2 linked regions of the Arabidopsis thaliana genome follow. The protein of the gene in region 2 binds, or shares a complex with, the protein of the main gene of each other region. Each region holds a gene or a part of one and is shown on either strand. Other genes may lie near its edges. A codon is read from its position in the direction of its gene.

The links.
Region 1: the proteins of TMM (region 2) and EPF2 are in contact, whole or in part, in a crystal structure (PDB 5XKJ), measured with the Arabidopsis thaliana proteins. Residues at the interface, in NP_178125.1 of Arabidopsis thaliana: Trp73 (codon at 3,420), Ile77 (codon at 3,432), Pro78 (codon at 3,435), Arg82 (codon at 3,447), Gly83 (codon at 3,450), Arg84 (codon at 3,453), Trp85 (codon at 3,456), His86 (codon at 3,459), Gly87 (codon at 3,462), Ile88 (codon at 3,465), Glu89 (codon at 3,468), Met91 (codon at 3,474), Val101 (codon at 3,504), Asp110 (codon at 3,531), Asp111 (codon at 3,534), Thr112 (codon at 3,537), Ala113 (codon at 3,540), Lys135 (codon at 3,606); in NP_564442.1 of Arabidopsis thaliana: Asp75 (codon at 4,094), Tyr78 (codon at 4,103), Ala79 (codon at 4,106), Gly81 (codon at 4,112), Ile104 (codon at 4,181), Arg106 (codon at 4,187), Arg112 (codon at 4,205), Tyr113 (codon at 4,208), Tyr114 (codon at 4,211), His115 (codon at 4,214), Val116 (codon at 4,217), Pro117 (codon at 4,220), Ser118 (codon at 4,223), Arg119 (codon at 4,226).

What each region holds. Positions count from the first base shown.
Region 1 is NC_003070.9:12,469,398-12,475,769, forward strand, and holds EPF2 (Putative membrane lipoprotein), read left to right. Parts: upstream 1-3,470; 5' UTR 3,471-3,592; coding exon 3,593-3,686; intron 3,687-3,774; coding exon 3,775-3,839; intron 3,840-4,030; coding exon 4,031-4,234; 3' UTR 4,235-4,577; downstream 4,578-6,372. UniProt on the Arabidopsis thaliana protein: Controls stomatal patterning. Regulates the number of cells that enter, and remain in, the stomatal lineage by inhibiting protodermal cells from adopting the meristemoid mother cell (MMC) fate in a non-cell-autonomous manner.
Region 2 is NC_003070.9:30,125,801-30,132,766, reverse strand, and holds TMM (Leucine-rich repeat (LRR) family protein), read left to right. Parts: upstream 1-3,117; 5' UTR 3,118-3,203; coding exon 3,204-4,694; 3' UTR 4,695-4,948; downstream 4,949-6,966. Other genes in the region: CBSX4 (Cystathionine beta-synthase (CBS) family protein), read right to left, coding at 912-1,253, 1,334-1,438, 1,515-1,758, 2,072-2,340, 2,436-2,549; SUS2 (Pre-mRNA-processing-splicing factor), read right to left, coding at 5,193-5,384, 5,472-5,714, 5,784-6,062, 6,142-6,339, 6,455-6,616, 6,797-6,966. UniProt on the Arabidopsis thaliana protein: Promotes cell fate progression in stomatal development. In leaves, needed to correctly orient spacing divisions, to limit the number of asymmetric divisions in neighbor cells, and to promote the asymmetric (amplifying) divisions of meristemoids.

The sequences.
Region 1 (6,372 bases), about 18 Mb from region 2:
TAAATTTCAGTTTATTATGATGTAATAGATAGTTAAAATGTATATTAAAATTGAATGTGTGTGATTGAAATTTTATTTAATACAAAAATTACTAAATTAAATATTAGAAATATTGTGTGGATCCTTATTTACTAATCAAAATTTAAATATTATCGATAAATATTTGAATAAATTTATATCTTACACCGTCTATTTAGGCGAGCCTTATCTAGTACTATTATATTCCTCTCAAACATGAGTTAGTTCAAATATAAATATACATGGGTTTAAACTTTACATTTATATTTGAATAACTTGTGTGTTTGGTTATTTTGATCTCATTCTCTATGAAAAATCGTAACAATATAATTGATTCAAAACGAATAAGTATAAAAAGAAAGTAAGTAACATTTTTTGTGCAAATATTGCAAATTAAATATCAAATTTTGCTAATTTACTTTTACCAACATAGTTTTATCCTCTTATAGTTATATATTACTACAAACTTTTATCCTTTTACTCTCGTATTATGAAAGATTTATCACATAATATTACCGACAAGAAAGAACATTACTCCTTTTTCTATTACATTTGATTGCCATTACAAAAACAAAAATCAAGAACAAATTAATTTCTCTTTACCTATTAATTAAACATGTGGGTCATATTATGAAAGACTTAATAAAATACATTACTATACAACATTAAATAATCTATCTAAAACAAATATTTGACAAGATAAGATATATATTTGTATTTTTTTCTACTTCAATAGCATCACTTATTTTAAATATAAGCTTATATAATTTGAATCTTAAAAAAAAATCAACTTGTGTTGTAACATAGGTCATAATCTATTACTGATTTAGTAGAATATCAACACAATTACAACCCACCAGCAAGTAGAATATTTTTCATAGAATCATAGGGACATATTACAATACATTAAATAGATAACATAAGCATGTTTTGAACTAAGAAACATCCTAACTATCACAGGTTTGGTCTAGAGAACAAGTGAAGTAAGCCAAAGATTAGATTAAGAGTTGTCCACCAATTGAAGAATGGGAAAGAGCTGAGTTAATTCATGAGTTCTTGACCCATTTGTAGAGATGACGAATTTGATCTCTAGATCATCTTATCCAACATCTAATTTATACTTCATGCAAGTATGGCATATTGAAATGTGGTTAAAAGCCATGAAGAATCTGATGATGAAGTTCTGTATCATGGTTGTTGGTATGCAAGAGAAGTTTGACAAATATTGGAGTGAATACAGTGATATCATTGTCATTGCAGCAGTGTTTGATCCAAGATTGAAGTTCTCTATGTTACAATATTGCTTCGATACACTTGATGCTTCCATTAGTAAATTTAAGATTGAACATGTGCGTAAGAAGCTGAAGAAGCTTTTTGAAGTTTATAAAGAATCCAAAGGAAATTGCAATTAGAACTTCAAAAACCATAGTTTGACAAAACATTCTTCTAGGATATGGTGTAAGTTTCCATCTTTAACCCTCTATTAAAAACTTTCTATGTTTTGATGTAGTGGTTTGAATCGTTTATGGTTTATGTGTATTGATGGTTCTCTTAACTTTCACAATGGAAGAGTTTTATGCTTTCATTTCTCAAACGGCTGGGGCTAATGGATAGTCAGCATTAGACAAATATTTGAATGAGCTGGTTTTGGACATGATAGCATTTAAGAGCATGGATATTTTGCATATTGGAGAAATAATGCAAATCGGTTCAAGGAGTTGTCTAAAATTGTAGCTTCAAAAGTCTTCATTCAGCATAGGAAGTCGGGTCTTAAACAAGTATCAGAGTTGTCTCCTTCCCTACTAACGTTTAAGCTTTGATATGCGCGAGGAATTGGCTATTTGACATATTTTCTTTTGTCATATTTCAATCAATTTGAATTTAAATGTAAATATGTTTTTTTGTTGTACTTAGATGATCATATTGAGTTATTTAATGAAGACAAAGATGGCAAGGGAGAAATATAAGAAGTTTAAATTTGCATTTAATTGCTTTTAGATTTGATACTTTGTTGAATTGTGTTCAAATTTGTTTTTAGATATATTTCAAAGTATAAGACTTTTGACTTATGTATTGATTAAAATATGAACCAAAAACTATTATGTTCAAATTTGGTTCTGATATGCCCATTGAACATCCCATTTGAACATAAACTTTAATGACATGAACGTTAATAGACATGAGTTTTAGTGGACATGAACTCCATTTATCTAATATCAAAATAGACATTATTAAAAATTGGAATGTGTTAATGGATATGGATAGCCTGCTATAGACTACCATTTTTGTTGGACATATCTTAAATTATCAACGAAGTACTCAAAAAATAAGAAAAAAATTCTGAAATAGTCTTGACCAACATTTCTTTCTTCTTAGACCTTCGAAACACATAAAAATGTTTTCTAGACCAAAACACATATTAATCATCATATTTGTTGGAGCTCAGATTTTATATAAATATCAACCAAGAAGAAAGGACTAGTTTAACCGCTAGGAATCTTTTTGTGACCAGAAAACATTTCTGCCTACGCTAGGAATCATCTATCAATAAAACATGGAATTTCTTCGTTACAAAAAAGAACTGAAAAATATGCTAAGCTCATTATTTGGTGCTTTGGGAAAAGGTCATTAAAACCAAGGGCAAGGTTCACGTTTGTGTGACAGGTTATTTTCAAGATGTCTGAACACTTTTTGGCTGCTTCTGTAAGTTCTCTGCTCTCTCTCCCATTGTGAACCTTATGACTACAATTATTAACTATTCCCTTATAGTAACTCCTTTTTTGGTCCCACGCCATATATTATATACCATATCTTTACGTATAAAACTTCTCTCTATATTCATGATACCACTAACACTTACATATTTAATGCTTCGACTTTTGTAATTATACATTCGTTCATCCTTGTGTACAATATGATCGATGGGCTTCTTGGTCTTTTAGCGGTAGAACTTTGTGTATATTAATATATATATATATGATTTACTGGTCATATTTTTTTATATAAACTATGATGTATTGGTCATAAATCGATGCTCAACTAATTTTTTTTTTAGTTTTATGTTGAACTATGATTTGTAGTGAAATATAGTCTTCTAGTTAAACATTTTCATCCATGGTTTATAATATGATTGATGAGATCTTCATATTATATATCCACTGACTGAACATGAAAACATGCACACAAGTCACAACCATATCTCAGGCTTTATTGCTACGTACATGTGAACAGTTTCTCATATTCAAAAATATTCATAGCCCGCGAACATGTTCATTGGTAACTAAAAGAATAAATCATAATGATTTTTTCTCAGAAAATCGACGAGAATCATGTGACCCTTCAACATGTGTGCCTCTTTTCATCATTTATTATCATAAATCATAAACACATAACCAATTCTTTCTCACCTTTTCCTCAACTATATATACACATATCTCACTTATCCCACCTTTAATACTTCACACACAACACATAACACACGTAGTACTTGCTTCCTATCATTTCTAGAAACTTCTCTTTAAAACCTCTGCCTCAACCAGAAAGTTTCTTCTTGTTAAAAAAAAAGATTATAAACATGACGAAGTTTGTACGCAAGTATATGTTTTGCCTCGTCCTAGTCTTCGCCGCGTGTTCTTTGGTCGTTAACTCCATTCGCACGCCGCCACTAAGTCCGTCACATCAATATCTTTTGGTTATAGTTTATATTTTACTTGGTAATGATTTTCATATATTAACATTTTATACTTTTTAATGTAGAAAACACGGTCAATGGCGGAGAAAAGAAAAACGCCGATATAGAACAAGCTCAAACGCACCACAAGGTAGGTCCTGTCTCCCACGGTGCACTTCTCTCATTTTAATTTATGTGCAAAAATACCATATTTTAATATATAAAAATATTTTTTTAATAATAACAACTGCATTTGATTTTTTCTTTTAATTAATTTTTAATTTTTTCTTTATAAAAGAAGTCATTGTCAATTAATTGTTTTCTTGTTGTAATGTGGTGAAGAAGGAAATAAGCAAAAACGGAGGGGTAGAAATGGAAATGTACCCAACAGGATCAAGCTTACCGGATTGTTCATACGCGTGTGGCGCATGTTCGCCGTGTAAACGTGTGATGATTAGTTTCGAATGCTCAGTCGCCGAATCATGTAGCGTCATCTACAGATGCACGTGCAGAGGGAGATACTATCACGTGCCATCTAGAGCTTGAATTGAATCTCCGCCGTTTATTTTTTTTTGACGTCTGTGATTAAAATATCAGTTTTGGCTGGCGGCGAAACTTTTTTTCTATTGTACAATTTGTTGGGATATTAAATTAAATGCTATTGGCCCACTTTGAAGTCTTATAATTAATATTGGGCTTTATTAGGCCTTTTCAAAGAGAGTTTGTATGACACGACCGAATCAGATTCTTGAACCGGTACATCACAAAGTCAAATGCTTCGGTTGGCCAATTATTTATTGTTTCCTTTTAAAAGCCATCTCCATCATACCGGTAACCGGTTAAACCAAAAAAATCATTTATGTAACAATGTGTAAAGTATAAACTTTTTCTTACTATGGATCGTTTTGAAATTTACATCTTCTTACATTAATCTGATTTGCATTAGTTAAAGAAATCATTTTCTTTTGTTCAAAAACTTAGACGTTTTTTTTTTTGGTTTAATTTAAAAAAAAACTTAGAAGTTAGAATAAAGTTTTGTTCTTCATTTTTTTGGTACACGAATAAAGATTTTTTTAGTTGTTTTTTTTTGGTAAAACTTTTTTTTTTGTTTTGTTTTTTATTAGTTGTTTATTTTCTCGTAATTTCTAATTTATGTTATGAGCATACAATATTCTATAGATTTTAAGTGTTTTTAGGGGAAAAAAACATTTGTAATAAATTTTACTTTTGTGTTTAAACTTTAAGCTATTTCCGTCTCGCTTTTTAAAGTGAAGACTAGTCTATGTTATTTGACTATGAAAAATGAAATTAAAAATGATTTTAAATCAGAAAATAAAACAATGACTTTGGCAAATAAAAATTTATTTATATTAATTTTGTCTTCCCATTTTGAAAAAGAAAGCTTGAAAATATCCCAAGAAGACATGGTCAATAGTCGAAGGAAGAAAGATAATGGGATGCAACTTGCAGGATTGTTAAATGACATATGACTGTTGAAGTAGCTCAAGATATATGGGCTACAAAGTCAACATGAAACATCTTAATCTGGACTGTTGAAATAGTGTTATCCTACGCAAACGTTAGATTTGTTTTTAATCAACTTTGAAAGATATGTTTTGTTTCTCTTTTTGGCATCAAAATTATATGAAAATTGAGATAATTAACCTGCCTAAAATTGGAAGGCAGGAAACGAAATCGAGCCTAACACTTCGCAACTAATTATCGAGTTGAACAATCAAATCAATTAATAATTGGATGTCAATTAATAATTACAATCAAATCAATTATTTCTCGTCGTCTTAATAATACACGTGTAATATACAGAGATTAATTATTCATTAAAAATGTATGCACCATTATTCTCTAGAGAATCATTCGAGGCATATTCATTTTTCACCGACCAATAAATGCGAGGCTTTGTAGATAACAGGTAACTTACTAAAAATGGTAAAATGATTCAACAGATTCAAGAATCCAGCAATGTTGCATAGCTTGAATTAGTGCTTGACATTCACTCTCCAATGCAGACTATACTTTCAATCCTTAAGCTTATCACTCTCCATTTTGCATATGATCTCTCTAAGTTGACATAGGATGAATCATGCATCATAGTTGCATTTCTCCTAATCTTGTCTAGAGTTGGTGTGGCGATCCCCTTTGTGGAACGGCATCACTTACTTAAATGGTAGACATTCAATTAAAATAGTCAAAAATAAATTTTGTTTTAAAAAAAAGTTTTGTACAAAAAAAAACCTTTCAAAGTAGCCAATTTTTGCAAATTTACCCCTGATCCCCAAAAAAATGCATGTTTAAAAATTCTATAAATTCAAAATAATATGCAATATAATGTTTTTTCTAATATTGTCAAGTTCTTAATATATCAAATCAAAGATCTTGAGACGACTAGTTCAACTCTATTTTTAGAATTTTTAAAATCAAATATATGTGATCGTGAAAACATTTACAATATACGTATAAGGTTTATTAAGTATTATTTTGGAATTTATAGGATTATTCTACCTTTTTTGAAGGTAGAAGATTAAATTGCAAAAACTAGCGACTTTAAAGGTTTTTGTTTTGCACAACCGTCAAAAAATAGTGACTTTCTAGTTTTTAGAGATCTCATTCTACTTATAAAAGAAATAAAAAAATACTAGTGCAATCTCTTAGACTAAAAAAATAGC
Region 2 (6,966 bases):
GTATGTACCAACACCTCTGGTTACGTGATTTTCTCATAACTTTGGTGATTGGTATATTGGTATCACATCGCTATATATGAACCATGACAGTACATAAATAAATAATCATATGGCACGTATAAGAAGCCTCTAATAATCTTCCTTAATTAGTCTCCTGGAACCAGAAAGTATACATAATTATAAAAAGCAGCGGTAACTAACGAAGATTTATAATATTTGAACACAAAAAAGCGTGCTCATATGTAATTATTGTGAGCTAGTATAGAATGATATATGAAAATAGCTAAATATTATTGTAAATGCGGATTAAAAATGACTGAAAAGAAGAAAGAGCGTGCTTGGAAACGGAACAAACAACTAGCTAGTATTAAACATATACTTTTTCATGTTATCAGAGTAAGTAGTAAAGTGGAGCGCATAATGAGTGGATGCTTTTTTAAGGTTATGTTACCAATTAAAACTAGTGATTAAATTATGATTATGGAATTATTATATACGAAAACTGAAATTGTCTCATTCGTATGTCATGCTTCTTTGCGCCCCGTGCTCGAGTACCCTATTCATTAATCACTACCCTCTCAGTATTTCATAATTTCTATGATTGCTTTGTTTTCTTTTATTATCCATGTACAATATTTTTTCCTTAATGGGATTATTCCATGTGCAATTTTGTTAACATGTTTATTTGTGTTTATAAGATATTCTTTTGGTAGAAATTCGTCATTCCTTTGCTTTGACATTTTTTCTATTTATATCATTTCCCTATATTTTTCTTATGTGTTACGTAAATGTGATGTTAACATTCGATATGATGAGTCATTGAGATGAAAAACGCAAAATTGTGTAAATTTTCTCTAAGAAACAAATAAAAGAAAATTTGAGTAATTGGAGAGAAGACTGAAAGTTGCGAGTTAAAACAGATCCGGAGCTCCGGAAAGCAAAGCGGATCGGACCACAGCGATGATGTCAGTAAGAGAAACAAGGCCTTGTAGCCCACCGTTCTGGTCCACGACCCAAACTCTGTGTACACGTTTCGTGGTGACCATATGGATCACCTGGGCCAAGGTTGATGTCACGTGACACGTCACGAGCTCCCTCCCTGGTGTTGAGGTAGCAGCGGTGAACAAGAGAGTTCTTGGGATTTTCTCGACGAACTCTAGTGCATTTAGCGGCAACCACGAACGCAATGTGGCTAAATGACATCCCTTCAGATCACTAGCCGAGAATGTCCCCACCACTCTCCGATTTTTCCCCTGCACCAGCAAACACCAAATTAATCAACATTTGATCTTAATAGATACTGATAGATACATGTATAAGTAAAGACACCTACGTCGACGAGCTGTTTATGATCCTCTCCCTCACCAGAGGCTTCGACGATAGGAACCGCATTGAGCATTGCTATACTCATGCATTGTATTGCATCTTTCACTCTAGCCTGGTATTAAACATTACAAGCGTTTAACTTAGGATTTAATGAATAAAGATGAAAATTCTTGACTTGTGAAATTTACCTGGCTAGTGAGGGCTAAAACAGTGTTGTGAATAGCGGAGAGATCAGTGACGGTGTGGGAGAGGATACCATGCAATTGAGAGGATTGGTCGAAGAAGAAAGAGATGAGATCCATCTGACTCAGCATTGCGTAAGCAGAAGCTGACTCTACCAACTCAGGTCCTGTTATATTTTCTGTATTACTGTCCAATGGAACCAATACCCTGTGGATTCCTTTACTCAACATCTCCATACAATCCATGATGCTGCTTTCATCAATGACCATCTTTGATTAGTACTCTATCCGTTCATATATAATGTTAAGATTTTTGACAAGAGAAAAATGTTTTGCATTTTTCTATGAAAAATTTGCATTATAATTTCTAATTTATCATTTAGTTTGAATTATAAAAAATATGAAACTATAAACAATTAATGACTGAAATATGGGTATATATATTAGGTGTTGCAAAAGAATTCTTACTATGTGAGAAAAGTGTACAACATCTAACATTATAAAAGGGAAGGATTAATTATACTGAAAGCAATTTAATTTTACAAATCTTCTATACTATTAACCTGGTATTAGGATTGAGAGACCAGAGGCTAAGACCCTCAGGGCAATGACCAATGATAGAAGAGACAGGGGCAGCCATTTTCTTATCAAGCCCACTCTCGCCGTCATCGCCGGCGATGTGAGCCACAACGTCGAGCATGGTCACCATTCCTATGTACTGTTTTCTTGCACTTCCGCTCTGTTTGTCCAACTCTACTATCATTGATCCCCCGGCTCCCAGCCATTGGCCTGGTTTGGCAGCCACCGGTACAGCTCTAACTCGGTTTGCCACCGGTTTGATACCAAGAATAGTCTTGTTAGTAATTCTTGATACTTAAAACGGTTGACTCCAACCAAAAAAATAACAATTATTTAGCCGTGGTTTACCATAGTGTTCAAGGCGTCCCCTAGAGTGGCATTATCAGGAACTTCGACCAGCCGCCGCTTGTCGATCATCAGATCTTTGACCTTGAACTGCATCAGACGGCTGTACGACTGCATGAAGATTTGTATTTGGGTGATAGTCAAAGTCTCAAAGAAAATGGGACGAGGCTTATGAACTTCTAATCTTTGTTTTGATGCTTTCGTAGTTACTTCATTATTCATATATGTCATGTTACTAGTAAGATGACACGTATTACATGTGTTGCTCCATGGGCATGTGCTTTTCGTATGCACAGACCACGCGTCCGTTTATTCAGATTCTCGTGTTACAACAAAATAATGATTTTAAGGTTCAGAATCAAACATATGAAACTTTTTATCAATTGCTATCTACGGTTTGTTACAAAAACAAATACAGTGCCCAGTTCAAAATACAAATTGAATAATAGCCCAACATATCGTAAATGGGAAAATGGGCTCAGCCCAAATAAAAAAAAAGTAAACGATAAGGAGACGTCGGGTCCCGTTCACGAAGCGGTCGGATCTAGGGCCCAACACAAGACGAATGAAGGGAATATCTCGTGAAAGCAATAAATGCAGAAATCGAGAATCATGAATTTTATTTATTTCGCTCCTCGAGTTATCCCGTGAAAGTCATAAAGACATTGCGAACGTTTTTATGGACCCACCAATTGTTTCTTCAGAATTATACATATACACACTGACAATTTCGAACCTAAACCGCATTCACACAACAACAACAACTAAGAAATGGCACGATATGAATTCTTCCGCCAAATATTCATTGTCTTGTCTATAGTTTCTCCGTTGGTCAGATCTTTCACTGTGATCACCTCCGACTCGACGGCCCCATCTGCTCTGATCGACGGCCCACAAACTGGATTCACGATGACCAATGACGGCGCTCGCACGGAGCCTGACGAGCAAGACGCCGTCTACGACATTATGCGTGCGACCGGCAACGACTGGGCTGCCGCGATTCCAGACGTTTGCCGAGGGAGATGGCACGGGATCGAGTGTATGCCGGACCAGGATAACGTCTACCACGTGGTCTCTCTGTCGTTCGGAGCGCTCTCAGACGACACGGCGTTTCCGACTTGTGATCCACAACGCTCTTACGTCTCTGAGTCCCTCACGAGGCTCAAACACCTCAAAGCCTTGTTCTTCTACCGATGTTTAGGCCGCGCCCCACAGCGCATACCGGCGTTTCTGGGACGCCTCGGCTCGAGTCTGCAAACGCTGGTTCTGAGGGAGAATGGTTTTTTGGGACCTATCCCTGACGAATTGGGCAATCTCACCAATTTGAAAGTTCTTGATTTGCATAAAAATCACCTCAACGGCTCCATTCCCTTGTCGTTCAACCGGTTCTCCGGTTTAAGATCGCTTGATTTGAGTGGTAACCGGTTGACTGGTTCCATTCCCGGTTTTGTTCTTCCGGCGCTGAGCGTTCTGGATTTGAACCAGAATCTTTTAACCGGACCGGTTCCACCCACACTCACAAGCTGTGGATCGTTGATCAAAATCGATCTTAGCCGAAACAGAGTCACTGGTCCTATCCCAGAATCGATTAACCGGCTCAACCAATTAGTGCTTTTGGATTTGAGCTATAACCGGTTATCAGGTCCATTCCCGTCTTCTCTCCAAGGCCTAAACTCTCTTCAAGCTTTAATGCTCAAAGGCAACACAAAATTCTCAACAACGATTCCTGAAAACGCGTTCAAAGGGCTCAAGAACTTGATGATTCTTGTTCTCTCGAATACGAACATCCAGGGCTCGATACCGAAATCATTGACTCGGTTAAACAGTCTTCGGGTCCTTCACCTAGAGGGCAATAATCTGACCGGAGAGATTCCTTTGGAGTTCCGGGACGTGAAGCATCTAAGCGAGCTGAGGCTCAACGATAACAGTCTGACAGGACCAGTACCGTTCGAGAGAGACACAGTGTGGAGGATGAGGAGAAAGCTGAGGCTGTATAACAATGCTGGTTTGTGTGTTAACCGGGACAGTGACTTGGATGATGCATTCGGTTCAAAATCTGGTTCAACTGTAAGATTGTGTGATGCAGAAACGTCGAGACCAGCTCCTTCCGGTACGGTCCAGCACCTATCTAGAGAAGAAGACGGTGCTTTGCCGGACGGAGCTACGGACGTGTCAAGCACTTCCAAGTCTTTGGGGTTCTCCTATCTTTCTGCATTCTTTCTTGTATTCCCTAATTTCATTTTTATGCTAATATCTAGTTAGAGGAGGGATGATAAAACTGCTGTAAATACTTCCCGAGTTTAATAATGTTAGTTAGATGCCTTTTCTGCATTAGTTGGATTGAATATCGCCACCATTTATGGCTACAAAAAAAACTTGTAAGCTCGAACGTGTTCCTTCTGTCTATATACTCTGTTCTTTGATCTCTGTTTTATCTTTCCGGAGATAAGAGACTTGTATTGCTTGTTCTTCCATGTTTTGTACATTTGGCGTTTATTCGAAATGGGAAAAACCTCTTAAAATAGTTTAAATTTGTCGTTTTATTTTCTCTCATCGAAGACGTTAGTTACCAAAATTCCGTTATACACGTACGTATGATTACATCACATTCAAGATTTTGATTATAGTGGCAAACCATCTTTTTAAGATTTAGGGACCTTACTATCTATCTCAGTAAAGCACAAGACAGTACAACATCTTACAAGTCTATACTGCAAAATAAAGCTAAATCACACACACGGTAAGAAAATTGAGTATATCTCAAGTAAATGTGTCCTCGCGATCTCCCTCTGTAATGTCAGCCTCCTCCATGTTGCTGAACTCCAGGAAATGAGTGGGTCGATGCTCCTCGTGATAGAACTCCTTTGGGGATCCGAGTTTGACACTGTATTTCATGCTCAACGTGTGCTTCACTCCAGTGAAGCTATAGTTCCACGGTCCACTCTCAGGAACCTATCATAACATCAGTTACAAAAATCAGATTTCAATGGTTTATATCATCCAAGGACAAAAGCACAATTGCAAACTCTGTTGTCTTACCATGTAAAACCCGAGGAACCGGTCACTCAGCAGCATCTGAACCTTTTCATAATGGGTGGGAAGGTAACCGTGAGGATTGCTGCCATTGTCCTTGTTAAGCCGCCCCCATTCATATCCGGTTTGGGTCAACTTATATGACGTCAAAGAGCAGGAGCCCGGAGTGAAACTGCAGGTCAGGATGATGCATTTTTCTCCATCCCATTGCTTGTTGTTCTCCAGAATACGGGAATGAGAGGTTACATCCTATCAAAGAAAAGATCAGTTAGCAATGAGGTTAACAGAAGGTAAAGATAAATATATATATATATATACCTGTGGTGATAGCTGAGGCAGCTCGTTAGGCTGTGTGTGCAACCATCCCAAGGGCTCAAGATCATTTAGGAAATCATGCTCAGGAAGAGATGACGGCAGGTGAACTAGCTGATGATTTCCCCACTGTGGCACCATCACAACACAACGGATCTCCTTCACCTGGGGATTATCCGGGGGACTAATACCATATAAATACCCAGCAATTTGAGTACGAAGATCCGCAACGCATATGAACTTCTTCAAAATGTTCTTTGGCATGATGTAGGTGTATCCGGTTTCCTGTGACAACAACAGACAGTGTTTAAGGTCGACACCTGAAAGGCTTTTACTTAATTGACAAAGTGAATTGGATTCTAACCTTTATGTCATCTGAGTTCACATATATGTGATTGACTCTAAGGTAAAGATTAGTGGCTGATATTGCACGTACACGCCAATCTGTCTTGGAACCGAATGCAGATTGCTCGTAAGGGCTTGTGGTGGTGACAATGAGCTCATCACCATGAACATTTGTAGTTCTTGTTGTGACTGCAGTAAGCTGGCTGGCTTCCTTTGCCTGCAAATAGGATATAGATTTACAGTGAACAAAGAATAATAGTCACAGTCCACTCTCACAATGTTTGTGTTTGTTAGAAAACCTGATAGAACATAGAAGTAACAGTTACGAGTACCTGTTTCTCAATCTCAGCTATCTGTTGCCTCTGTTGAGAGGGTGGAGTAATCTCAGCTCCAAGAATAATATCTCGGATCTCTGATTGTGTCAGAGCTGAGGTATTCACATTGTTTTTCTTTGCGTAGTCAGAAAGAATAAGATCTCTAAGTGCTACCTCCACCTGAATTTAACATGATCGTGAGTAAGGAAGGACTATTTCAAAAAAAGAGAAGAAAGTAAAAGCTATATATCACATAACTCACTAGTAAATAAAAACAGCAGATATAGAATGTAAAGAGGGATCCTATCAAATAAAAGAATATAGCAAGAAGAAGTACTTGGAAAGTGGCAGAAGAGTTACCTTCATCCATTGATCATCAGTGAGAGAGGGCCAGATGTGATGTGGCTCAGTGACAACGGACTTGTCAGGCTTCAACAACATCTTAGCCTTCTCATTATTCACGTGAAGCGCACGAAGGATCAAAATAAGTCTTGAAAAGGCAGTATAAGAAGAAATACTCTTCAACCAAT